2 linked regions of the Macaca fascicularis genome follow. The protein of the gene in region 1 interacts with the protein of each later gene in a biochemical or structural test. Links are inferred from orthologs where the notes say so. Each region holds a gene or a part of one and is shown on either strand. Other genes may lie near its edges. The genes, in order: F5 and PROS1.

What was found.
Region 2: the proteins of F5 (region 1) and PROS1 form a complex in vitro, tested with the Homo sapiens proteins (2 studies listed by BioGRID). The link is inferred for Macaca fascicularis from reciprocal best matches to the Homo sapiens genes F5 and PROS1.

Annotation. Positions count from the first base shown.
Region 1 is NC_088375.1:27,209,540-27,222,570, forward strand, and holds the start of F5 (coagulation factor V), read right to left. Parts: upstream 7,900-13,031; 5' UTR 7,793-7,899; coding exon 7,635-7,792; intron 3,894-7,634; coding exon 3,802-3,893; intron 1-3,801. Other genes in the region: SELP (P-selectin), read right to left, coding at 11,594-11,648, 12,879-12,909. UniProt on the Homo sapiens protein: Central regulator of hemostasis. It serves as a critical cofactor for the prothrombinase activity of factor Xa that results in the activation of prothrombin to thrombin.
Region 2 is NC_088376.1:188,830,172-188,842,572, reverse strand, and holds part of PROS1 (vitamin K-dependent protein S), read right to left. Parts: intron 12,027-12,401; coding exon 11,940-12,026; intron 4,704-11,939; coding exon 4,581-4,703; intron 4,476-4,580; coding exon 4,344-4,475; intron 1-4,343. UniProt on the Homo sapiens protein: Anticoagulant plasma protein; it is a cofactor to activated protein C in the degradation of coagulation factors Va and VIIIa. It helps to prevent coagulation and stimulating fibrinolysis.

The sequences.
Region 1 (13,031 bases):
GCAAAAGCCACAAAAGGTACACCTTCAAATACCTGCCAATTCCTCTTAATGAGTATGTTTCCCACCTCATATTCCCTTCATCTACCTACAATTTAATTTAATTAAACAGTTCTTAAGTATCTATTGTATATGCTAAGCTTGGAGCTGGAGCTCTGAAAATGAATAGACTCTGTGATATAGGACAGGACATCCTTCAACTTCCTGCTCACAACTACAAACTTAATTTTATTGGCAACGTTATCTTCTGCTTTCCGGGCCCCCAATGAAGGTAGTAGCCATTCTACCTAAGGCCAAGCTGGCCCAAGGTTTGAATCCCAATGCTTCCTGCTTCTTCCAAGTCCTCTCTCTCAGATGTTTTTATCCCCTCGTTTTCTATTGGAAAGGACTTTGTGGCATTTCTATGGAGTCTTCCCTTTAATATTTTAAGTCTCTGTATTCCTTTTTATAAAATTATCAAATATCCTGAAGCTCCTGAGTCCGCCTCAGAAGTACACTGTCTCTCCTCCCATCTGGAACCAAGTTTCAGGGAAGAGTTATCTGTAAGACCCTTCTGCTTCAGTTTCCTTGCCTTCCATTCACTCCTCATCCTGCCATCTGGACTTGCCCCACTATTCCATAATAAAAGGACCATATTTTGGCCCTTATATTAATAACTCTTCATAGCATTTGACCCTTTGCTTCCAGGATACCACATTCTCTAGATTTTTTCTCCCCTCCCTGAACAGGCTTTCTCAAGCTCCTTAGTAAACTTTTCTTTCTTGGCTCATCCCTTGGACTTTGCTGCTACTTTGAGCTCTGTCTGCAGCCTTCTCTTCTCATCATATCCTCCCTGGTAAATTTACACCCTCTAAAGGCTTCAATTACCATCTTTGTTCTGATGTCTCCCAAATGTTTACAGCTAGCTCAGTTCTCTCTTTTGAGGGCCAAACTTCTACACCGATCTGCTCATTTAACATCTCTAGGTAGACATTCTATAGACAGACTCCAAATCTATACTTCTCACCTTCCCTCACAAACTATCTCCTTTTCTTAAATTTTCTTTCTTACTGATAGGCACCCTATCCACTCTGCTGTTTAAACCAGAACCTTGAAGTCCATAATAATTCCCTTTTCTTCCTCATTATCACATCTAATGAGTCACCAAGTTTAATTGATTTTAGCTCCTAAATCATTTTCCCCATCTCATTTTCCCCATCTCAGCTTCTCTGCTATCTGGATTGATACAACAGTCCCATAACTGGTTTCTCTGGCTCTGGACTCTGGTCTTCCTCCAATCCATTCTCTATAATTGGAGAGGATTGTCTTTCTAAAGGACAAATCTTTCTCCTGCTGAAATCCTATTAGGGACTCCCTATTCCTCTCACTATAAAGCCTAGCATGGATGCCTGATCTCCATCTAGTTGCATCTCTTGTTAATTCCTTCCCTGAAGTTTGTGCTCCAGCTGTGCTGATCCAGTTATGGTTCCACAAACATACCATACTCTCACCTCCAAACTTTGAAACATTCTGTGCCTTGGTTTAAAATGCATCTACCCTCCAATGCCTTGCCTCCCCACTTGGATTTCCAAGATCCTACTCTTTTTTCAGCTATCAACCTAGAAAGAGAAGTACTTTCCTGCCCACCAGACTGGAGATAGGTCTCCTATGTCCTACTACAAAATCCTCATCATAGTTCTTCCTTGTTACTCTACTGTCATTGCTTGTCTACCTATAGGTTATCCCCAGTAGCTGGTTGACTCCTGGAAGTCAAGGTCCATGTCTTATTCACTGAATCCCAGAACCTGGAATGTGGTAGGTTCTCAATACACAATTTTTTTTTTTTTTTTTTTTTTTTTGAGATGGAGTCTCGCTCTGTCACCCAGGCTGGAGTGAAATGATGCGATCTTTGCTCACTGCAGCCTCCACCTCCTGGGTTCAAGTGATTCTCATGTCTCAGCCTCCTGAGTAGCTGGGGCTACAGGCACACACCACCATGTGCAACTAATTTTTGTATTTTCAGTAGACACAGGGTTTCACCATGTGGGCCAGGCTGGTCTGGAGCTCCTGACTTCAAGTGATCCGTCTTGGCCTCCCAAAGTGCATGAGCCACCATGCCCGGCCTCAATACACAATTATTTTAAAATAAAAGAATATTTAAATGCAGATTTGTTTAAAATTAAATAAATATATAAATGAACACATATGAAGAATATATAAATGAGTGGAGAAATATAGATATATAGATATCCATAATACTATGATATATATGATCTAAGTTATGATTAATAATAGCAGCAACAATAACAATAATGTAGCTAACTTCTACTGAGTGCCTATTGTGTGTCAGCATCATTATAAATACTTTGTACATAATATCTTTAGAAGATAGGGATTAATTCAAGGTACTAGGGGTGTATAGAAGAGGGAAGACTTAATTCTGCTGATATGGAGGGGGTGTCAGTGTAGCTTCAGAGGGAAAGTGGCTTCTGGGTAGGTCGTAGTGAAAGCTTTGGTTTTGGGTGAGATTGGAACCCTAGGGGAGAATATCTGGTGGGGATACTGAGCAGGAGTGGTAAGAGAAGTCAGAAAACCCAGGGGAAGTGACAATAGAAAAACCAGGTAAAGAGAGAGCTTCAAAAAGGAAGAGTGTTAAATGTCCTAGTAATGTCTAGTAGTAAAAGAACATAGGCTCTGGCACCTCAAGTCCTGAGTGCCCTTTTGTAAGAGTAATTTTAGTAGACTCATTCATACTAAAGCAGATTAGGAAAAGAATATAGGCGAAGAAATGTAGAGAATGATACAGAGTCCTCACACAAAAACTGAAGTGAAGGAAAGGAGAGAAAAGGAAAAGGCAGGCAGGGTCACGGGGAGATTTTTTTGTTTTTCTTTTTCTAGATAGGAGTTAACCTGGACATGGTTTGGTCTGGTTTTGGTTTGGTTGTTGATTTTTAACGGAAAGAATGACTCCCACTGAGTAAATATTGAAGATTAAGGGAGATCAGAAGAGGCAGGACAGACTAGGATGATTCTCGGAAAGACAGCAGGTCTTCATCTGGTTGGGGAAAGGGACAGGTGAATTACTGACAAGGGGACTCAACTGGAGGAAGTGCTCCCTTGAGCACTTCATCCCTGTAGAATATGGTATCATAGTTAAGATACTAGAACCCTATTCAACCCAGTCTTCTTGATAAAGGAAGAGATGAGGAAAAAAGAAGAGATTTTCTTTAAAAATTATGGCTATTGTATATATCACACTAGATAAATAGGAGACGCAAAAGAGTCAGCCATACATAGTTACTTTGAATGAATCTAGGGAGCCAAATGGAAGCAAAAAATCATTCTGCAGAGGCACATCTGTGCTCATTAAACTAAACCATAATCTCCGTGAACCCAGGATATGAGACTGTCTCATCCACTGTTGCATCCACAGTGCCTACCTATTTCAATGCCCAGCCCACACCCGGTACTCAATAACAGTTTTTTAGATGAATGAATAAAAATTCAAACACTTATAAGTTTTATTTAGCTATTTTAATCAAGGTTAAAAACAGAGCCAGCTTCATGGGTATGTGACCTGGGCAGTTTCACAGGGCCCCATGCCCCGAAGGGCCCCTGGCTTGGTTTAATGCTTTGCAGTCACTACTTTGAAGTGTTCAGTAATATGAACAAGGGGCCCCACATATTATGCAGCCAGTACTTGTTAAAAAAGAAAACACATATTTCTACAAATTTTCAAGTAAATGGAAATTTTAGATGCATGTGAATGCCAAATTACCCATAGAAATTTATCTTTAAAATTTAAAAAGTATATTTCAGGCTTACCTGAAATGCTAGATTGTGGTTTTTCTTTCTTAAAATATGGTTCATACTCTCTGTAGACAATTTTCTTAAAGGAAGTTGCAGAAAGATTCAAACTGGAAATATAATACAAAAACTAATTTGAAAGGCATATTCAACATCTATTTCTCACATCACAAAAAAAGTAGATCTCTCATATCTTCAGACTTCTAGTAGAATACCAGTATCTTTATTGCATTTCAGAAGCCCACCATTTTATAAATATGATCAATAAATAAAGTTAATGAAATAATTATTGGTCTCTTCAAAAATATCCTGTTGTGATAACTATTTGTTCACAAGTTAATCTACCCTAATATCGTTCCTCAGAATCAATTTTCTAAAAAGAACCCAATATCACAGTATAAACCCAAACTGTAGGTTTAGATTTTATATTATTAAAATATGACCAAATCCTTTATGAATAAATATATGAGCTGTTTTTCAACTGATCAATCAAAAATAGTTTTAATCTACTGGGGAAATTGTGAAAAAGTATTGATTTCGTGGAATTTATTTCTAGTTGAGAGGTGAGAGATGGCTAACGGGGTAAAAGCCCTGGGATTCATATTGGAAACAAACAAATGAAAAATCTGTTTTGGAAACAGTCAGTAACTTGTCTAAGAGACACAGTTGATAAGTGGCAGAACCAATATTAAAAAATGTGAAACCACCGCATTCATGATTTAAAAAAATATTAGAGAGAGGACAGACAACAGGGAGAGTCGTGAGTGGTGAGTTACTTTCCTGTTGTTGCTGTTGTTGTTGTTGTTATTGTTCTGTACCTCTAAAGACACATCATTCTTATCCTTGTCTTAAACTCAAAGATGAGGGTAAAAGGAAAGAGAATTCAGAGAAAATACCTTACAAATGTCTCAATTTGATCAGAGTGGCTTTGTTTTGCTTCCTAATGCGGGGACAGTGACCCAGCCATAATCAAGACATAACAGCACCCACGTATGCCATGCCTTCTATACAGCACGGTGGCTAGGGTGCAGGCTGTGAATTCAGTATCTCTGGACTTGAAGACTACATCTACCTCTTATTGTTTTATCTTGAAAAGTTTACTTAATTCATTTGTGCCTCAGTTTCTACAACTATAAGATGAGATTAATACTGAAATCTCCCTCACAGAATTGTTGTATAATTTTAAATAAGTTGATATGTACAAAAGGCACAGAACTGGCACACTAGAAATACTTAATCCATGTTAGCTAGTAATATTTTGTAAATATAATTAGAGTTAGTCTTTAGCCTTCAGGTTTTCACAGAAAGCAAAAACAAATCTGTAGTAATAGTAATGCTCACAAATTTTAATATGTGGAATACAGGAACTGTGTTAATATGTGGGGGCAGGATTAAAGGAGGCATGTAAGTACTTTTAGAATGGCTAGATAGAGAAGGTAGTGGATTCACTGGCAGTATTCAAGTAGAAATTAGACAACTACTTGGTAAGGTCATTGGTGCTGAGGGCAAGGGAAAAAGTAGAAGGTTAAAACACCTTAATATGTTTGAATATGAATTAAATGACCTCTTAGCGTTCTTATAACTTAAGAATTCTAAGATGCTATATACTAATGTCCCTAATGTGGAAGTCCATTTTTATTTATTTTTTTAGTACAATTGAAAAGTTATTGTCCTCCCCTGCCCCAGATCTTTGATACAGAATGTAGATGATGGTATAAAATCTTTACTAAAAAATATCAGTCTCTTATGTGGAGTAATTTCAACAGAGAGAGGTTTTCTAACAAGTTTTACTATGTATGCTGTGTATTTATACTGAGGTATGTCTATTTTAATCTGAACAATTTCTATTGGAAAATAATCTATCTGATTAAAAAGTTACAGATGATATGAATTCAAACAATGGGTACAATGAGTTTTTCATTTATAAGGATTGTTTAAAGATGATTTGTTCATAGTCACAAAATCATATAAAGCTAGAACCCTAGGAGGAAAATGTATGTGTATCTTTTCTTCAATATCTCTTTGTATTATGTGAGTGACTAAACAAGGTTTCTAAGGAAATTTTTGAAAGTGTTCATCTCTGACTTGGAGCAAGAATAATATGTACATTTTACCTTTACAAGGCATTGTCCTGCTAATATTATATGAAATAAGTAGACGGATTTCTGCTTTGTGCTAAAATACACTTTGCCAAAAGATGGAGTTGTCTACGTTGATATTCATCTAGTGAGCATCATAGCTCTAGGGGCTGGACAAGTTAGAACAAGTTCTTAGTGTAAGCAGCCAGATATATGGATTAGATTTTTCATAAGAAAATGCTAGAGAGAAGTGATATGATTTAGGGTTAAACAATATGACAGTTTGTCTGGGTTATGTTTCTATGGTTTTGACTCAACAATTGCTACCAGAGAAATGACTCTCCAGAACTTTGGAAACTTACCCACAGGGTGAGGGGACAGAATGACCAGTCGTGGTTCCCTGTGTACTCGCCATGTGAATCAGACCTTTGCCCTATGTGATTCTGCCTCCAGCATTTTGCTTGCTATTTTCAATGCTAACTACAGACACGAGAAAAAAACTCCCAAGCGTAAACCCAGCATGCTACAAGAAAGCCAACAACCAAGTTTGCATTCTTCTCATGAGCAGGCAAGATTAGTGTTAGAAGGACTGTTATTTTCCTTGGGGTTTTAGCTTACAGCAGTTCCGAAGGGTGTGGGTGTGACCTAGATTGTTACTTTGAAGTACAATATTTAAAATGATTATTTTTGAAAAGGAGGGATCTCTTCTTATTATAAGACCAAGATCATGTGTAATACCCTGCAAAATAACCCACTTACAATGAGAGTTTTAAAAAGGCTAATATTATACACTAAAAGATCTCAAATATTACATTAGTTTTTGGCAGATTGCTTTGGTTTTGTAATTGTAAAAGAGGAACACATCTTTCATAATAAACTGTGATGTTAGGGAAAAAAGTGAGTCACACTAGCAGGTTGACCATTTAAAAAATAACTAACTGGAAATATTGAATAGACTCTATGATTTAGTTAATTTCTGAGAAGTCTTATTTTTAACATTTCAATTAGAAAAAATAGTTTGCAACTCAAGGGTAGTATTTTATATGAATTAAACCTCCTCTCAGTTACATACCATATCCCAGGACATGATTAACAGAGAGAAAAAAATGAAGAGTCACATTCAGTAGGATAAGTAAGTCATATCCCAGGACATGATTAACAGAGAGAAAAAAATGAAGAGTCACATTCAGAAGGATAAATAAGTCAAATATGAAGCAGAAAAAAGGTGAAAGTACAAAAACATACAAGAACTGATGATATTTTGAAAATCATTTATAAGGCAGCAATAAAATTATATGACAAAAAGCACAAGGTGTTCATTTTTAGTTTTAGAAGATGAAGCTATGTAGACAATGGAACAAATAATACGTAAATAGGAGTCTTATAAAAATACTAAACAACTAAAAATCTGGAACAGGAATTTCCAGAAAGCACTAATGAGGAAGCAATCCCTGGTGCCTTTGAATTCACCAATATATAAGCCAACACAAACATACTAACAAAACTGTATTGAAAATAAACTTGAAAAGAAAGCATCATCTAACCAATCAAATGGAATGCTTTCTATACCCTCAGAATGATAAACTACATTATTGGAGGCAAAATTAGCATTCGCCCAGTTTATTTAATTCAGTGTACTCTCCTATTAGTTATATTTACTTACCTGAAGTTAAAAAAAAAAAAAAAAAAGCCATGACATTGCAAAGGAAATGTTGTCTAAAGAAATAGATTTTCCTCTCTAGAGAAGCCCACCCAGATCCACACCTGAGTTACCTTGAGTTTGTGGACTCAGGTCGGTAGCTCCAACTGATGCCCTGAGCAGCCACGTAGAACTGCCTTAGCTGTACCGCTTCTGTCCCTTGTCTCCCCCAGCCTACCCAGCTGGTGCCCAAGACCACCAGGACCCAGAGGCGTGGGCAGCGTGGGAACATGCTTCCTTTCCTGCTCCCGCTGGCTGCCACCACCCCAGGACCTGGGCAGCCGCTCGTCGAGCTGCTGACTAACCCCGCTCCTGGCTGTCCCAGCTGCAATGAGCTCTGAAGGCTGTGGGTGGCAGCGTCCTTCTCCCCTGCGGTTCTTGCAAACTGCAGCGGCAGCCTCTGCCTCTCCCTCCCTCCCCTTTTTCTGGGGCTTTTCCTGGCAGGGGCTTGGTGAGATCACAGCTCCCAGCGACCAGAGGTATTAGGGAGAGCAACCAAACTAGTGACTGTTTTACTACAGGTGAAGAAGGGGCAGAGATCAGAGGCTCTAGCAGGCGGGACAATGCCCAGGGATTCATGAGCCGGACAAAGCTGTATCCCTCCATTTCCACCGGCCAACACCGCGGAAGCAGTCGACCCTTACCACTGACCTGAGGCCTGCCTGGGTCCGGACAAGCTCACACTTGGAGAACTTTCTGTGAAGTGCAGTGGTACCCAACCACCTTAATCAGATGGCTCCCCTTTTGATCTGAGGAAAAGAGTATTGTGCCCTGTTACCCGGCACTGAAACACTATTTTCAAGTGGTGGAGAAGAAGGGAACAAACACATGGACAAGGCCTACTGCTCTGAATCGCCTTCCTGGTCTCTATCAAGGCACAGTTCTGCCTTGATAAGGGCCTGTAGCTAGCTAAGCTGCAGCATAGCAGAGGGCTTAAAGAACTTGGCTGAAAAAAAAATCAGTTGTCCAGTTTTCAGTTTCACTTACTAGCTGTGTTGTCTTGGGCAAGTTACTGTACCTCTCTGTTCAGTTTTGATATCTGTGAAATAAGGATGACAATAATGGTTTTTCCTGATAGGGTATGTTGGGAGGATAAAATGCTACTGTAAACTATAGTTCCAGCACTTAGCACACAGCAGCTAGGCGTAGTGGCTCAAGCCTGTAACCCCAGCACTTTGGGAGGCCAAGGCAAGTGAATCACCTGAGGTCAGGAGTTCAAGACCAGCCTGGTCAACATAGTGAAACCCTGTATCTACTAAAAATACAAAAAATTAGCCGGGAGTTGTGGTGGACACCTGTAATCCCACCTACTCAAGAGACTGAGGCAAGAGAATTGCTTGAACCCGGAAAGTGGAGGTTGCAGTGAGCTGATAACTTGCCATTTTACTCCAGCCTAGGCTACAAGAATAAAACTCCATCAAAAAAAAAAAAAAAAAGAAAGAAAGAAGAGAGAGCCAGAGAGAGAGAGAGAGAGAGAGAAAGAAAGAAAGTCAGTCAGTCACAAATTTATTACTATGATTATATTTTCCTGTCTCCAGGACCCCTTGTATTCTTGTATTTCTTGAAGGATCTAGTTGTTTCACACCACCTTAAATCTTACTTTGCTGTTAATAGAGAATCTGAGAATTATATCGTGTGAGACATCATAATGACTTGTCCTGGGTTCCCTGTATCTGCATGGCTCCAAGTTTCTGTCATGCTTTATGCATTCAGTACATTCAATAAATTGTAATCTGGCACCTCATGTGAGGTCTCTGTTAATGATGTCAGGCTCATCAACAGCCTCTTCCCCCCTCCCCACTCCCCCCAGTGTTCTGTCTTTCCTCCTGTGCTGATATTATTCTACCAACTTAAAATGCCCATTTTCTTCCTCTTTGCTGGGTCATTCTTTACAGTGCAGGGTTCTGCCTGTCTCCCAGATTCTGGGCTCCAATGGACTTTTCCATTTTATGAACTATTATAACACTATTCAAATTGTATAATCATGTTAATTACCTTTGGTTATTCCATGTAGGTATCTATTGTCTCCCTGATTGAACAGTTGCTTACACTTCTTTATCTACAATGTTATCAGTATCTCCCAAAGTTGGTAGCCCATCAGAATTCCCAGGGGAACTTTTACAAAATGTAGATTCTGACTCAGGAAATAGGGCTGAGACCAAAGTCCTAGAACATCTAGCCTATTGATTGACGTATAAATAAGCAGTCAGAGATGCTACTGGCAGTGTATCAGAGAAACGTTTTGAAAGCACTGTGTCCCTAAATCCCAAGGTTACTACCAACATTGTTGCAACATTACTGTAACCTTTGAGTAGGCTGCTTTTTTTACTTGGATGTTTGCTTATGTATATACAGTATACATGACATGTTTATTGCATTACATTTTACAGAGACAAGATGACTACTATAATGTTTGGCTCTCTATTTTTTTTTAACATCAGTTCCAGATAAACACTGTATAACTTTCAATGACCTATTTATTAAACATGGGATTTGAAGAACATGTAAAATACATTTGTTCTTCCCTGTAAAACATTCAGGTGATGAAGAATTTTTCCATTTCTCTGATTTTCTCTTGGAGTGGAGGGTGTGTGACACAAATTTGCTGGCTGACTGAATGGTTGAGGTGTAAATAGGACAACCATAATTATGTGTTATTACACTGATGGCAAACAATGTGATATACACAGACCTTACTGAACGAACCATCCAATAGAGGAACATGGCATTTGGGGAAAATTCTTTTAATTATACATTTGAATATTGGTCTTTGGGTCCTTTGAGGGACAGTGGCTGGTGGCAGGAAGGTCCACAGTGACATGTATCCTCCTGGCTTGATTCTTGGCCTTCTGCAGCCTCTGGTGCCATCCAGAGGGCTCTCTGGAAGCCTCAGAGCAGAGGTCCAAGAGGCCTCATCAACAGCAACCACTGGAGACTCCAGAAGATGCTACAGGAATTGCTTCCCGTTAGAGATGCCACCTGCTTTCCAACAAAGTAGAGAAAGCCTTCCTTCAATCAAAAAATAAAGAGGTATTTTTGTTTCTCCACAGTCTGGTCTTCTTGTGAGTCAGATGCTCTAGTCTCTTTGGTTCACTGGCAGTTCAAGTGACAGGTGAGTCAAAGCACGGAGACTACTGCAGAAACATTTGCTCCTGGCTTCTGTGGCTTGTATTACAGGAAGAGAAGGGGTGGGGCAGGAAGGGGTGGTAGGTTGAGAATTTGAGATTGTACCACAATCCCAAACTCAGGAAACAGGGTTGGTCCAGAGCTGGTCCAACAGTCTGGTCCAGAGCTAATCTAAGATAATTCCATGTCTTTGATTCACAGGTATTTATGGAAAACTGCAGCAAATGCATTATAGTTAAGTCAAGTCTAGCAGGAAACTTGATGTTCACAACAGGATCATATGGAGCTGAATGAGGTGACCAGGAAAAGGACAGGTCTCTGAAAATGAGACCAAAGAAATTTAAATAATTATCATTTCCTTAAAAAAAAAAAAGGAAAGAAAAAAATTGCTCATCATATCTACCCCCTGAGGCTCAGCATAATCTTTTCTTTCTAGATTTTGAATATTCTGCCATTCAGGTTTTTTGTAGGACACTCAGCTACCCACTGAATTTTTTGGGAGAGGGATAGCATCAGATTATTTTTGTTTTTTCCAGCAGGTAGCATAGGGAATTGACTCCATAACAGTTCGAAAACATTTTTCAGCAGTCTTGACTTCTGCTTTGCAGGAAAGGTCACATCATCACCACCTAGCAGCCAATAATGGAAATGTCACACATCCTGAAATAAGTTATGTCTTGTTAGGACATTTCTGTCCTGGAGGAAATGGAAATCCTTCTGTGAACTCTATTGTCATTCCGTTGTCATACCTGTGTCCTACTGCCAACACAATTTCCTTCATGCCTGAACATCTAATACATACTTAAAACGTAATACATGATTACATAAAGAAAAGTTAAGCTTTATAGTCTTCCTTTTTTCCCTATTGTTCTATTTCCTTCAAAAACATCTTTATAGGTATGTTACCTTAAGAACTCGGGTCAAATGCAGCATTTGTAAAAACTCCATATGTTCCTAGGTGGCTAAAAAACAGAAACACAAGGGTGACCACCATATACTGCTTAGTTGTCAACAACACAGTCCAACACATAGTATTTCCAGAAACCATAAATTACCATCCACCCCTGGAATTCTGCTTTAGAAAGGAAAGAAAAATAAAGGCCAAAGAAATATTCGATATCCCACTTAACAGCTCTGGGTAATTTACATTGTATTTTGTACCCGCACTAAGTTATTGTTGATGTTTTACCTACTGAATACCTGTTATACCCTCTAAGGTGCTGCAACCTCTTCTAGGTGAGAAGAAGTAGTTACAAAATTCTTGGCATTAACACTTAATAATCTAACGGTAGTTTTCAAAAGGGGCAGTGTGCCACCTCGGGGTGTTTTTTGATTTTTATAACCATCAAGAGTTCTACTGATACTGAGTAGGTATGGGGCAAGGGTGCTGGATGTCTGTGACAATAGGGTTCATATAAGGATTTCTATTTCCTCCAGGATGGAAATGTCTTTAAAAGATATCCAGCACCCCTGCCTCCTGCCCACTCAACGTCAGTAGAGCTCTTGTTCGTTGCAAAAATCAAAAGAAATACCCTTGGAGGCATACTGTCCCTTTTTGAAAACTCTTGCTAGATTATAAACAGCAGGGGGTACAGGACACAAAAGAATTGTCCAACACCCCACATAACTTTGGAATATCTGCTCAATATTCATACAGGTTAAAAATCTCTGAGCCTGGAACGCAAGCGCTTTACATGTAAATATTAAGCATTTTTTGCATCTTTAAAAAGTGTAATTGCCATATGAATCAAGGGACAATTATCACAGGTTTTAGGACTCTTTACCAGAGTTGTTCACCATTTTGAAAAATTAGATTAGTGTTGGCCACAGCTCTAATGCTCTCTGAGTCACTAATACAACATTTCCCTATCAGTCCACCTGCATGGCTGCTGCTGTCCTAGTGATTCTGCTGGAAGGTGCATGTTTCTGATGACCTCATTGCATCTGCTGGTGCAGCGCCTAAGTTTTTGCATCGTGTTTTTATTATAAATTACTTTTCATTTTATTTCTACTTTATGTTATAATGAGAATATTTGTTATCTGTGTATTTTACTTCAGAATAGAAGAGAAGACATTTTAAAAGACATTGTAAAAAGGAGGCAGGCATTGCATGTAATCATTCTGACATATTACAGTGAATTATAAAGTCAAGCTAGCAAAATTTACTCAATCATAAAACATTTCTACCTTACCTGTGAGGATTCAAGGGGCATTTCCCATCATCTAAAATAAGCGAGAAGATAAGAATGATTGATTTAAAAAAAAAAAAAAAACAAGATGAAAGAGAGGGTCATTAAGGATAGAAATTATTGGGGAAAACCAGTAGACTGATTTTCAGGTCGGCT
Region 2 (12,401 bases), on another chromosome or scaffold:
ATTTTTCCCATACCAGCAGACACTAGCAAAGAACCCTTGATTTGTGTTTCCTGGACTAGTTTAATATACGTAATGAGATAACAGATTGGCCTTCGGACAAAAAAACATTAAATCTATCATCATATGTTAGTTCACTAAATATGATTTCTTTCTACAAATGCATAGGGAATTTGATTCATGTTTGCCATGTTCCTTTCTAGTTATGTTAAGAAGGAGAAAGCTTTAAAAATATTCTTATCTGCCAGGTTGTGGTATGAAAATAAAGAGGTCTTGAAAACAGATTCACTCCACATTATCATAATTATTTTTTGTACATGGGATGGCTCATCTATTCTATCTTGTTTCTTTGGAAATGAACAAACATCTAATTTGTACACTACTATTGTCTAAAGCAGACGATAGTGATTCAAATTTAAAACAAGATTAAGGTCTCTAAGTACTTATAAATCTGCAGTTAATCCAATATGAATTTAGTGCTAAATGAATATTCCAGAAATTTCAGATGCATATATTATAGTGCAAAATGAAGGAGACAACACATTGATAGTAACTAGTTACTCGATGAGCACCTGTGAAGAAAACAAAACATGCGGCAGAAATAGTTCAATGGAGATGTAATTATTATCTCTTCTGCGTACTCTCTGGAGAAAGACAAATTCAGAACAGAAAATATGTTTTCTATTCCAAAAGTTGACCACCTTTTTTCCAGATTAATAGTCAAAATTTAGGATATTATTTAAAATAACTTGCACAAAAATAATAAAACCAGTTTCCTTGTAGGAATTTTTCTATATTTTGACTGTATCATTGTCAACATCCTGAGTGTGAAATTGTACTATCATTTTGTAAAATATTACCATTGAGGGAAAACGAGGTAAAGGGTAGGTATATAGCATCTCTCTGTATTACTTCTTACAACTTCATGTGAATCTTTAATTAATTCAAAGTAAAATATCCAATGTCTTAAAAAGAGCTAAAAACTATGTTTTTGAAATAAAGTAAGCCTGAGCAACAGTGGGACACTGTCTCTACAAAGTTTTTTTCTTAAATTAGCCAGGAGTGGCCGGCCATGGTGGCAGTGCTGTAGTCCTATTACTTTGGGAGGCCAAAGTGTTCGAGACCAGCCTGAGCAACATGGTGGAACCCCACTTCTATATAAAAAAAAAAAAAGGAAAAGAGAAAAAATTAGCCAGGAGTGGTGGCATGTGTTCTTCTTACTAAGGAGGATAAGGCAAGAGGATCACTTGAACCCAGAAGTTAGGGTGCCTTGAACTATGATTGCACCACTCCACTCCACCCTGGGTGACAGAGGGAGACCCTGTCACTAAATAAATACATAATAAAATAAAATAAAATCAGTGAAAATATGTCACTAAGTGCATTTGGTTTGAGGCATATTGCAGGGAATTATTTAGATCATACAAGTTTAAGTTACAGTACATTGGTTTTATGACTCCACACCGACATCTGATGTCTGATTGTAAAGTTTTATTCTTTCAGCTGGGCACAGTGGCTCATGTCTGTAATCCCAGCACTTTGGAAGGCCAAGGCGGGCAGATCACTTGAGCTCAGGCGTTCAAGAGCGGCCTGGTCAACATGGCAAAACCTCGTCTTTACCGAAAAATGCAAAATTAGCCAGGCATGGTGGCGTGCATCTGTAGTCCCAGCTACTCGGGAGGCTGAGGCAGAAGAATCACTTGAACCCGCAAAACACAGGTTGAAGTGAGCCGAGCTCACACTACATACCAGCCTGGGCATCATAGCGAGACTCTGTCTCGAAAAAAAAAAAAAAAAAGAAAGAAAAGAAAGAAGAAGAACAAGAAGAGAAAAGTTTTATTCTTTCATCTTTAGACAGTTACTGGCAACTGGATCCCAAGCATTTCTACATCGTGGCAAAGGTCCCATTGTAATAGTTTTTTCTTGTTGTTGTTTTTTCTTTCTTTCTTTTTTTTTTTTTTTTGAGGCGGAGTCTCACTCTGTGGCCCAGGCTGGAGTGCAGTGGCGCGATCTCGGCTCACTGCAAGCTCCGCCTCCCGGGTTCCCGCCATTCTCCTGCCTCAACCTCCCGAGTAGCTGGGACTGCAGGCGCCCGGCACCTCGCCCGGCTATTTTTTTGTATTTTTAGTAGAGTCGGGGTTTCACCGTGTTAGCCAGGATGATCTTGATCTCCTGACCTCGTGATCCGCCCATCTCAGTCTCCCAAAGTGCTGGGATTACAGGCGTGAGCCACTACGCCTGGCTGTAATAGTTTTTCATATATTCTTCTATCTGTTTTCTACTCTATTACTTACATATCATGGGTAAACAATAATGTAAATAAATATAAGAACAGATGTGGTCATCAAGAACATTCCTATTAATAAGAGCACTTTTGTAATCATTTACACATATATGTGTGTTTTAACTGAGTGGATAAGAATTTAAAATACTTTTGAGTTTTTAAAAAGTCACAAATTTGGCCAGGTGCGGTGGCTCATGCCTGTAATCTCATGACCTTGTGAGGTTGAAGCTTCAGCCCAAGAATTTGAGATCAGCCTGGACAATGTGGCAGAACTCCGTCTGTATCTGTACAGAAGCTACAAACATTAGCCAGGCATGGTGGTGCATGCCTGTAGTCCCAGCTACTTAGGACGGTGAGGTGGGAGGACCTCCCAGGAGATGGACGCTGTAGTGAGTTGAGATCATTCCACTGCACTCCAGCCTAGGTGACAGGCAAAACCCTATCTTAAAAAATAAATAAATAAAAACAAAAATTCTTTAGAAAGAGACTATTAAAGTATTTAAGTGTAGAAGTATCAATGGGTACTATTTGTTTATAAAATGCATATGGTATCCAGCATCGTGATGGTTTTTCTATAACTCATGTTCTAATGACAGTCTTATTCTAAGTAGTCTCAAAATCCAAACACAAACAGACCTTCAAATAGGCGGATAAGAAAGATACATGGTCACACATTGGGTAACTGTTTAGAAGAATTTGTTGTTAATGTGTTCACTTTAGAGTCATTTAACTGCAGTTTAAATAATACTATAGTAAAGTTTATCATATTAAACACTGTTATTCAGTAAGAGATAGATGATTTGAATACGAATCTAATTTAGGGCTTTACCAAAACATATATAAAATAAAGAGTTGAACAAGAAATTCACATTTTAACTTCCTTTTTTTTTTTTTTAACATTTTAGCAAAACAAAAAAAAAAAAAGTAGTGGAGGAGAGAATGTTGATATTAATTGTATCCAGTTTCTAAAGGAAAATTTTAAGTCCAGGTAGGAAATCTTGCTTTTAGTCATCCACACACCTGGTATGAATATTTGAAGATTTAGTCATAGCATTAACACAGCCAAACTGAAAGACAGCATACAGAGAGAAAAAAAAGTCAAAATGTAGGGATAGGAAAACAATGAAAAATAAAAGAAATACACTAGTAAAATGATTTGTTAGAAAGCTAAACTAACGGGGAATATTTAAGACTGAAGAAGAAAACGAGTTATGACCAGTGATATGATCTTAAAGGCAGAAAGAGAAAGAAACTAGATCTTCTTTTCTTTCCCAAAACCACAACAGGAAATGAAGTGCCAGATGAAGGATTGATACTGGAAATCAGAAAAGTATTTCTGAAAAGGAAAAATAAAATACAATGGAAGAGGTTATTGCAGTGGATTTCTTTCTATGGCTACTTATCTTACTAGAAGAAAATAAAAAATATAATGTCTGAAGACAGAGGATAAACAATGATTTTGCAAAGTTTGTAGCATGCAAAGACTTGCATTGAAATGTCATTTTATAATGAAATTCCTTATTGAAACATGCACACAAGTGTGTACACGCACATACAATAAGAAAATTTTTAAAAATCACGTTATCAGTACTGTAAACTAAAATACATGCCAGGCACAGAGCTCCCACCTGTAAACCCGACACTTTGGTAGGCTGAGGCAGGAGGCTCACTTGAATTCAAGATCAGTTTGGGCAACATGGTGAAACCCCATCTCTACAAAAAATACAAAACAAAATTAGCTGGACACGGTGGCATGCACCTGTAGTCCCAGCTACTTGGGAGGCTGAAGTCAGAGGATCAATTAAGCTCGGGAGGTCAAGGCTACAGTGAGCCGTGATAGAGCCACTGCACTCCAGCCGGGGAGACAGAGTGAGACCCTCTCTCTCAAAAACAAACAAAAATTAAAAAGCAGTTCCACAGTATCACAAGGCTTCAATGTGGATAAAAATGTGTTCGTATAAGCACTTACAATCATTTTTCCAAAAATGTGCTAGTAAAATTTCTCTAACTGGGATTATTCTCATACAGTAAATGCGTTTTAATTCTACCATCCTGCTCTTACCTTTACAGTCTTTCTTATTTGAAAGCATAACAAAACCACTTTTACAGGAACAGTGGTAACTTCCAGGTGTATTATCACAAATTTGACTGCAACCTCCATTTATATTTGAGGGATCTTTGCATTCATTTATATCTAAAACAGGAAAAAAACGAAATATTTTTAAAGTAATATAACCTGCAGAGAACTTTCCAGGAGACCAATCCTGATGAGCTGGGGGGCGGGGGTTGTTATACATACCAAATTCACACTTTTCTCCTTGCCAGCCTGGTTTACAAGTGCAAGTGAAAGAAGCTTTTCCATCTTTGCAGCTCATATATCCATCTTCATTGCATGGCAGAGGACTACACTGGTCTGGAATGGCTGAAGGAAATAGACATCTATTTATTTTTTTTTACCTCATGTCATGGTAAAAGAAAATTGTGTGCACTATAATAAAAATCCTGAAGCCTGGAACCAATGGAAAAAAAAAAAAAAGCACAACTCCTCCCTTTAAATAATACTTTTCTTAAGTTAAAAAGTGAGTCCATTAGGTAAATCTTTATAATTATTTTGTAAAAATAAACTACAGATGGCAGCAGTGGCCCATCTAGAGTGGCTGCTGTCAAGATGCCAGCTGCAGTAGGGAGGTGGGCCAGGGTCTCCCACTCTCCACAGAGCAGGTAGGAGCCCCACACTCCCCGGATGCTGCTGCAGCTTCCCTGCCGTGGCTCTGGACCCGGGTGTCTCTGTGCTCCTGGGGGCCTGCTCCCGCTTCCAGGCTTCTCCCTGAAGCAGGCATCCACCCTGATCTAAGAGGCACGGCTGGGGCTGCACGCGCCACAGAGCTGGTGAAAGCCAAGGACAAAGGGGAGCCCCACCCCTTCCAAACTGGTGGGACAAGAGTCCCCTGAGTGCAGCTGCAGCTGCCCAAGCCTGGCTGTAAACCTGGGCATCTCTGTGCTCTTGGGGGCCTGGGAAGGCCCATTGTGCCCACCACAGGCTCAGAAATGCCTGCTCCTGCTTCCTGGTCTCTCCTCACTGCTGGCACCCACTCTGGTCATGGAACAAGGTTGGGGCTGAAGCCGGCTGCTGTTGCAGCCTGGCCGGGTGGGCACAGGCTCAGGGCAGTGCTAAAATGCCAGCCCCCAGCCCCCTCCAGTCTTTGGGCTCCAACAAGCATGGGAGGGGAGCTGACAGGGGTGCTGAGGGCAGCTCAGCGCTGGCCTGCAGGCACCCCCTTGGCACAAAGAGCCTGGGTGCCATGCACAGTGGCAAGAGGTAGACAGCTGCCTGTGTGGAAAAGGGTGGATCCCCGTGAAGTCCCACCTTCAGACTGGGAAAGGCCTGAGGCCTATGGGCTGGGCTGCCAGTCCTGCTGACTGAAGGGGGAACTCTTGGTGCTTTTTCCTGGGCCCACCCGTGGCAGCCCATGGACCAGTCTGCATGCACTTTCCCACTCTAAAGACTATAAAAACCCTAGACTCAGCCAGAACAGAACAGATATACAGACGACCAGCTGCAGATAGGAGCTACCACCTCCAGGGCCTCCTCTCTACTGGGAGCTGCAGACATCGAATGACCTGTCTGCAGAGAAGAACCACCCTCTCCAGGCCCTCCTCTGCTGAGAGCTGCTGATGGGACAACCAGCAGCAGAGAGGAGCCACCCACTCTAGGCCTCCTCTCTACTGACAGCTGCAGAGACAATGGGATGACCTGGCTACAAAGAGGAGCCACCCGCTTCAAGGCCTCCTCTCCGCTGAGAGCTGAACACTTGATGGGACAACCTGCCTACAGAGATGAGCTACCCACTGAGGGTGTCCTCTAAGCTGTTCTAATGCTCAGTAACGCTCCTGTTCATCTTGCTCACTCTCTACTTTTCTGCATACCTCACTTTTCATCGATGCAGGACAAGAACTCGGGCAAAGGCATTACTGGCTACAGAAGTTTCCAGACAGAAAAGCAACATCCCAAAGATTCCATAACACTACTTTTACATTGCAAATATATACAGTATTTTGTAACTGTAATTTAGATATTTTTCCAAATATATTACCTCATTTGAGCCTTAGAACAATCCCATGAGGTAGACAGAACAATACTATTCTCAACATTAAGAGAAAAAAGAGGTTAGGCATGATGGCTCACACCTGTAATCCCAGCACTTTGGGAGACCAAGGCAGGCCGATCACTTGGGGCCTGGGCAACAAGGTGAAACCCTGTCTCTACTAAAAATACAAAACTTAGCTGGGCATGATGGCACACTCCTGTAGTCCTAGCTACTCCAGAGTCTAAAGTACAAGAATTGCTTGAACCTGGGAGGCAGAGGCTTCAGTAAGCCAAGATCATGCCACTGTGATAGAGCAAGGCTCTCTCTCAAAAAAAAAAGAAAGAAAAGAAAAAAGAACTTAAAACTTTCAATTTGGGCTAAGATGATGTAACAAGGAACAGATTTATCTTCCTGCCTTAAATAAGTAGAACTTCAGTCTAACTGTGTAAAATAATTATTTTTCAAACATTGGAGAACAGGAAGGAGAACATCATGATTCCTAAAGAAAAGAAAATAAACAAGCTGAGACCTACAATTGGACCACATTAGTGCCTGGAGATAGCTTCTATGCAACAGTGCAAGAAACACAAACAGAGCCCAGTGGTCTCCCTGGGTTGAGAAAACAAATATTGGAGTTTGGGGAGATCAAATTAGAATTTTGCTGGTCAGAGTACTATAAAGGCAGAGAGAGGGAAAAAAAAATGTATGTGTGTATGGAAAGAGAGAGGAAAAGAGAGAGAGAGAAAAAGAGAAAGAGAGTCTCCAGAGATCTGCAAAAAGATCCCCTAAGGTCTTTGGCTGAATGATGATTTGCACAGGAAAATTTCCAGAGCTCATAGAGGGATAGGGATAGTTTGTTTTAGACTACCTAGACCTAAAATATTTCATAGTACAAAGGGCATCAGGTAGACTCCTCACAAGGACATAGACTTATTATTGAAGCTAAATTAGTTTTAAGCTAATGGCTACTCAGGATTGCCTTAATAGAGCTTAAAATCAAACCTCAAAAGATTTGTTTTTAATGTATTCCACATAAGTTACCTAAATGCCACAACAAAATTAAACACTATTTGGAAGAAGACAAAAAAATCCAGGACCCAGCAACATAAGCTGTAAGCTTATTTTCTTTCCCTTAGGACTCACAGTGTTCTGCTTCCTGTTCTCCAATGTTCATAACCATTATTTTATATACTCAGACTGAAGTTCTACTTATTTAAGGCAGGAGGATAAACTTGGTCCCTGTTACATCATCTTAGCCCAAACTGAAAGTTCTAAGTTCTTTTTTTCTATTTATACTGAGAATAGTATTGTTTGTTTGGTTCAGTAAACAATTAAAAATAAGTAGGAGTCAGATGCAGTGGTTCACTCTGCACTTTGGGAGGCAGATGAGGGAGGATCATTTGAGGCCAGGAGTTAAGACCAGTTTTGGCAACATACCGAGATGTAATCTTTAAAATTAATTTAAAAAATAAATTCCCCACCTGTGGTAGTCCATGCCTGTTGTCCCAGCTATTTGAGAGGCTAAGGTAGGGGGATAGCTTGAGACCAGGAGTTTGAAGTTACTGTGAGTTATGATCATACCACTGGACTCCAGTCTGGGTAACAGTGAGATCTTATATCCAAATAAAATAAAGCATAATGTAAAATTAAATTAAATTAAGAAAATAATAGGCATGTAAAGAAACAAGAAAAAAAAATTATAACCAAGAGAAAAATCAGTAGATGAAAATATATCTAAAATGAAAGACATGACAAAAAAATCAGAAAAATAAATAAATAAAATTATTTTAAGTGCATTCCACATGTTCCAGTAGTAAATATAGGCATGATGAAAAAAAATAAAATAAAATAGCAGATGTGGAACAGACCCAAATGGGATGTATTGAAATGAAAAATAGACTATATAAAATGAAAAATACACTAAATGGGATTAAAAGTAAATTATCCATGGGAGAAGAAAGGAAGAGTGAACTTGAAGACATAAAAACTATCCAAAATTAAGGAAGGACAGATAAGAAGTATAAAAACAATAAATACATAAATAAACTGATAAATAATTAGAGCATGAATGACTCGTTAAACAATATCAAGTGGCCTAATACATGTTATGGACATTCCAAGAGAAGAGGAAAGATAGCAGGGAAAAAGAAAAAAGAAATTTGAATAAATAATAGTAAATCGTTTTCTAAATTTGATGAAAACTATGAACATGCAGATCCAAGAAGCCCACTAAACACCAATCAGGATAAACCTAAAAATACTATGTCAAATTAGAGAAAACCAGGGAAAAAGAGAAATCTAAAACACAGTGCATACATAGAAGAAAAAAAAAAACTAAGAATAACAGTAGTTTTCCCATCAGCATCTATTCAAGTGTAAGGACAATGGACAGACATCTTTGACATACTGATGGAACACTATCAACATGGAAGTCTTTACCCAATAAAAATATCTCCCCAAAATAAAGGCAATATACTATTTTTTAATTAAAAAATATGAGAAAGGCTGGGCACGGTGGCTTATGCCTGTAATCCCAGCACTTTGGGAGGCCAAGGCAGTCGGATCACAAGGTCAGGAAATCAAACCCTGGCTAACAGGGTGAAACCCTGTCTCTACAAAAAATACAACAAATTAGCTGGGCGTGGTGGCAGGCACCTGTAGTCCTAGCTACTCGGGAGCTGAGGCAGGAGAATGGCATGAACCCGGGAGATGGAGCTTGCAGTGAGCTGAGGTTGTGCCACTGCACTGTAGCCTGGGTGACAGAGCCAGACTCTGTCTCAAAAAAAAAAAAAAAAAGAGAGAGAGAAAAATCCATCTTCATCAGATATGTAGTATAAGAAATGTTAAAGGAATTTCTTCAGGCAGAAGGAACATGTTGTCAGATGGAAATGTGGATCTATAAAAAAGAATATGGAATGCCAGAAATGGTAAACATATGAGAAAATACAGAACAATGTTTTCTGGGACAGGTGCCAATGGCTCATGCCTGTAATCCTAGCATTTTGGGAGGCCAAGGTGGGTGGATCACTTGCAGCCAGGAATTTGAGGCCAGCCTAGGCAACATGGCAAAACCCTGTCTCCACAAAAATACAAAAAAATTAGCCAGGCCTGTAATCCCAGCTACTTGGGAGGCTGAGGCACAAGAATGATTTGAATCCAGCAGACAGAGGTTGCAATGAGCTGAGATTGTGCCACTGCACTCCAGCTTAGATGACAGCACAAGACTCTGTCTCAAAAATAAATAAATAAAACAATAAAACAATATTTTCTCATTTGATAATCTATTTATAAATTAACATATCATGGAGTTTATAATGTATAATATTAAAATGTAAGGCAGAAACAACACACACAAAAAAATAGAGGAAATGAGGTCTGGCACAGTGGCTCATGCCTGTAATCCCAGCACTTTGGAAGGCCAAGGTAAAAAGATCACTTGAAGCCAGGAGTTCAAAACTATCTAGGCAACAAAGTGAGACCCTATCTCTACAAACAAATTTAAAAATTAGCTGGACATGGTGCTACATGCCTGCAGCCCTAGCTACTAAGGAGGCTGAGGCAGAAAGGAAGAAGGATTTGAGACCAGGAGTTCAAGGCTGCAATGAGCTATGATCACCCCACCACACTCCAGCCTGGGCTAGAGAGTGAGATCCTGACCGAAAGAAAAAAAAAAAAAAAAAAAAAGAAAAGAAGAAAAGAAAAGAAATGAGTAAAAGAAGTTTGAGAAGCATAATTAATAACAGAGGAGATAAAATGGAAAAATGTAATCAACTTCCAGCCCCACGCCACCCCGCAAAAAAAAAAAAAAAAAAAAAAAGAACAGATGGGATTAATGGACTTTAACCATCATCAATGGTAACATTAAATGTAAATGTTTATAGTCTAACACTCCACTTAAAAGACAGACATTGTCAGATTGGAGAAAACAGCAAGACCCAAAAGAAACTCACTTGAAATATAAACATACTGGTATGTTCAAAGTTAATGGACGGAAAAGTAAACCATAAAAACACTAATCAAAAGAAAGCTAGAGTGACTATATTAATATAAGATAGATTTTAAAATAAGGAATATTAGCAGAGAAAAAGAGCAATATTAAGAAGTACAAAGTAGGGCCTGGAATGTTTCATGCCTGTAATCCTAGCAGTTTGGGAGGCCCAGGTAGGAGGATTGCTTGAGGCCAGAAGTCTGAGACCAGCCTGGACAACACACCCAAGACCCCATCTCTATAAAAAATAAATTAGCCAGGAGTGATGACATGTGCCTGTAGTTCCAGCTACTCAGGCGGCTGAGGTAGGAGGATTGCTTGAACCTAGGAGGTTGAGGCTGCAGTGAGCCATGATTGCACCATTGCACTCCAGCCTGGGCAACAGAGCAAGAGCTTGTCAAAAAAAAAAAAAAAGTACAAGTAAAGATCAATTATAGTGCCTTGTTTATTTTCTTCCTAAACTATCAAAGCACTTTATCAATACGGCAAATGACATACTATTTGTTTTTTATTTGTAATTTCTGTCCCCTCATCACACACTGCAATAGTCCCTTCGTTTCTGCACATTTGCACACCAGCTTCTCAACTTCCCAATCAACCATACATGTTCTTCCTATCCTTCCAATACTTCCAATACCCCCAATACTGCCAATATTTCTATCTCTTTGCATATGTTAGTCAAAGAAAATTTTTGTTGTTTAATAAATAAATAAATAACCAACCTAAATAATGCCTAATTAATTCCACAATTTTTTAAAAAGTCTTCATAGGATCAAGTTTTTTGAAACGTGGTAATACATTAGGTATTAGTTAAAAATCACAGAAAACAAACTAATAGAAAATTTTTATCAAAACTATTATTCTTCTGTTCTTTGGTAAATTTTAAGAAAAGATAAAGCATGAATTAAATAATTAAACATACGTGTTCAGACAAACGTTCTACCTGTGTAATTGCAAGCACTTTAAGTTAGAGAAAAACACAGTTAAATGAATATCTAGAGAATGTCAATGCTGGATGTAAAATATTCTCTGAACAAACATCACAATTTATATCTGCGGTTGCACCATTTGCTTTTACTAATTTACCGATTTCCCAACAAAGAATAATCTACCAGAATTATCATTAAGCCCCTTGTGAACTTCAGAGCAAGAAAGCTAATTTGATTCATATAACATTTTCCACGTTTATATTATCAGTGCCAGAAAGTTAGAAGAATAAATGTGGCTCTACTTTGAGCTATTAACCTACTGTAACATTAAGTCATACTACTTGATTATGCAACAACAGCCAAAATAAAGCCATTGGGAATAAAAATTCTGAAGCTGTTGACCTAAAGCTTACTAAAACAAAGAACCCTGTTCAGTTTAAACATTAGGCAAAAAAATTCATTTTGAGTAATACAGCGGCATTTACAACCACAAACAAGTATTTTAAATGCAGTTTGAAAATACTTCTTTGCTGGACATACAACCCATCAAAGGATCATTTCTCGATTTTGAAACATTAGTTTACATTAGCATGGGTGTACTTTACCTACAGAGTCTTTGTTTTGTTTTTTCAATAGATGGTAGAAGTGCTTACCATTGACACAGCTTCTCAGGTCAGGATAAGCATCAGTTGACTGGCGTGCAGCAGTGAATAACCCAGATTGAAAAGAGCGAAGACAAACTGAAAAGAAAAACGAACATAATCTTCTTAGACACACATACTTGATCTGAATTCATGGTAGGAACCGTCCCAAGAGGTAGAATATTTATGCTCCTGTGGATTCACAAGATTCAGCCTTCAAAATGCAACACTAAACGTTTCCATCTACCTTTTTGCAAAATTAAAAATCTACAAGTAAGATGGCAACAGATACAGAATCATAAAAAATAGGTCTGTAACAGCTTCTTCTCTCTGGAGAAGAACCTTAAAGTCAGAAGTGAAAAAAACCTTGGTTTAGCACAGAAATTTATTGTCATATATGTTTTTAATTCCATAGCAGAAACAAGATGTTACTCTCAAATCTATTGACCAGAGTCTGATTTATAAAGTATACAT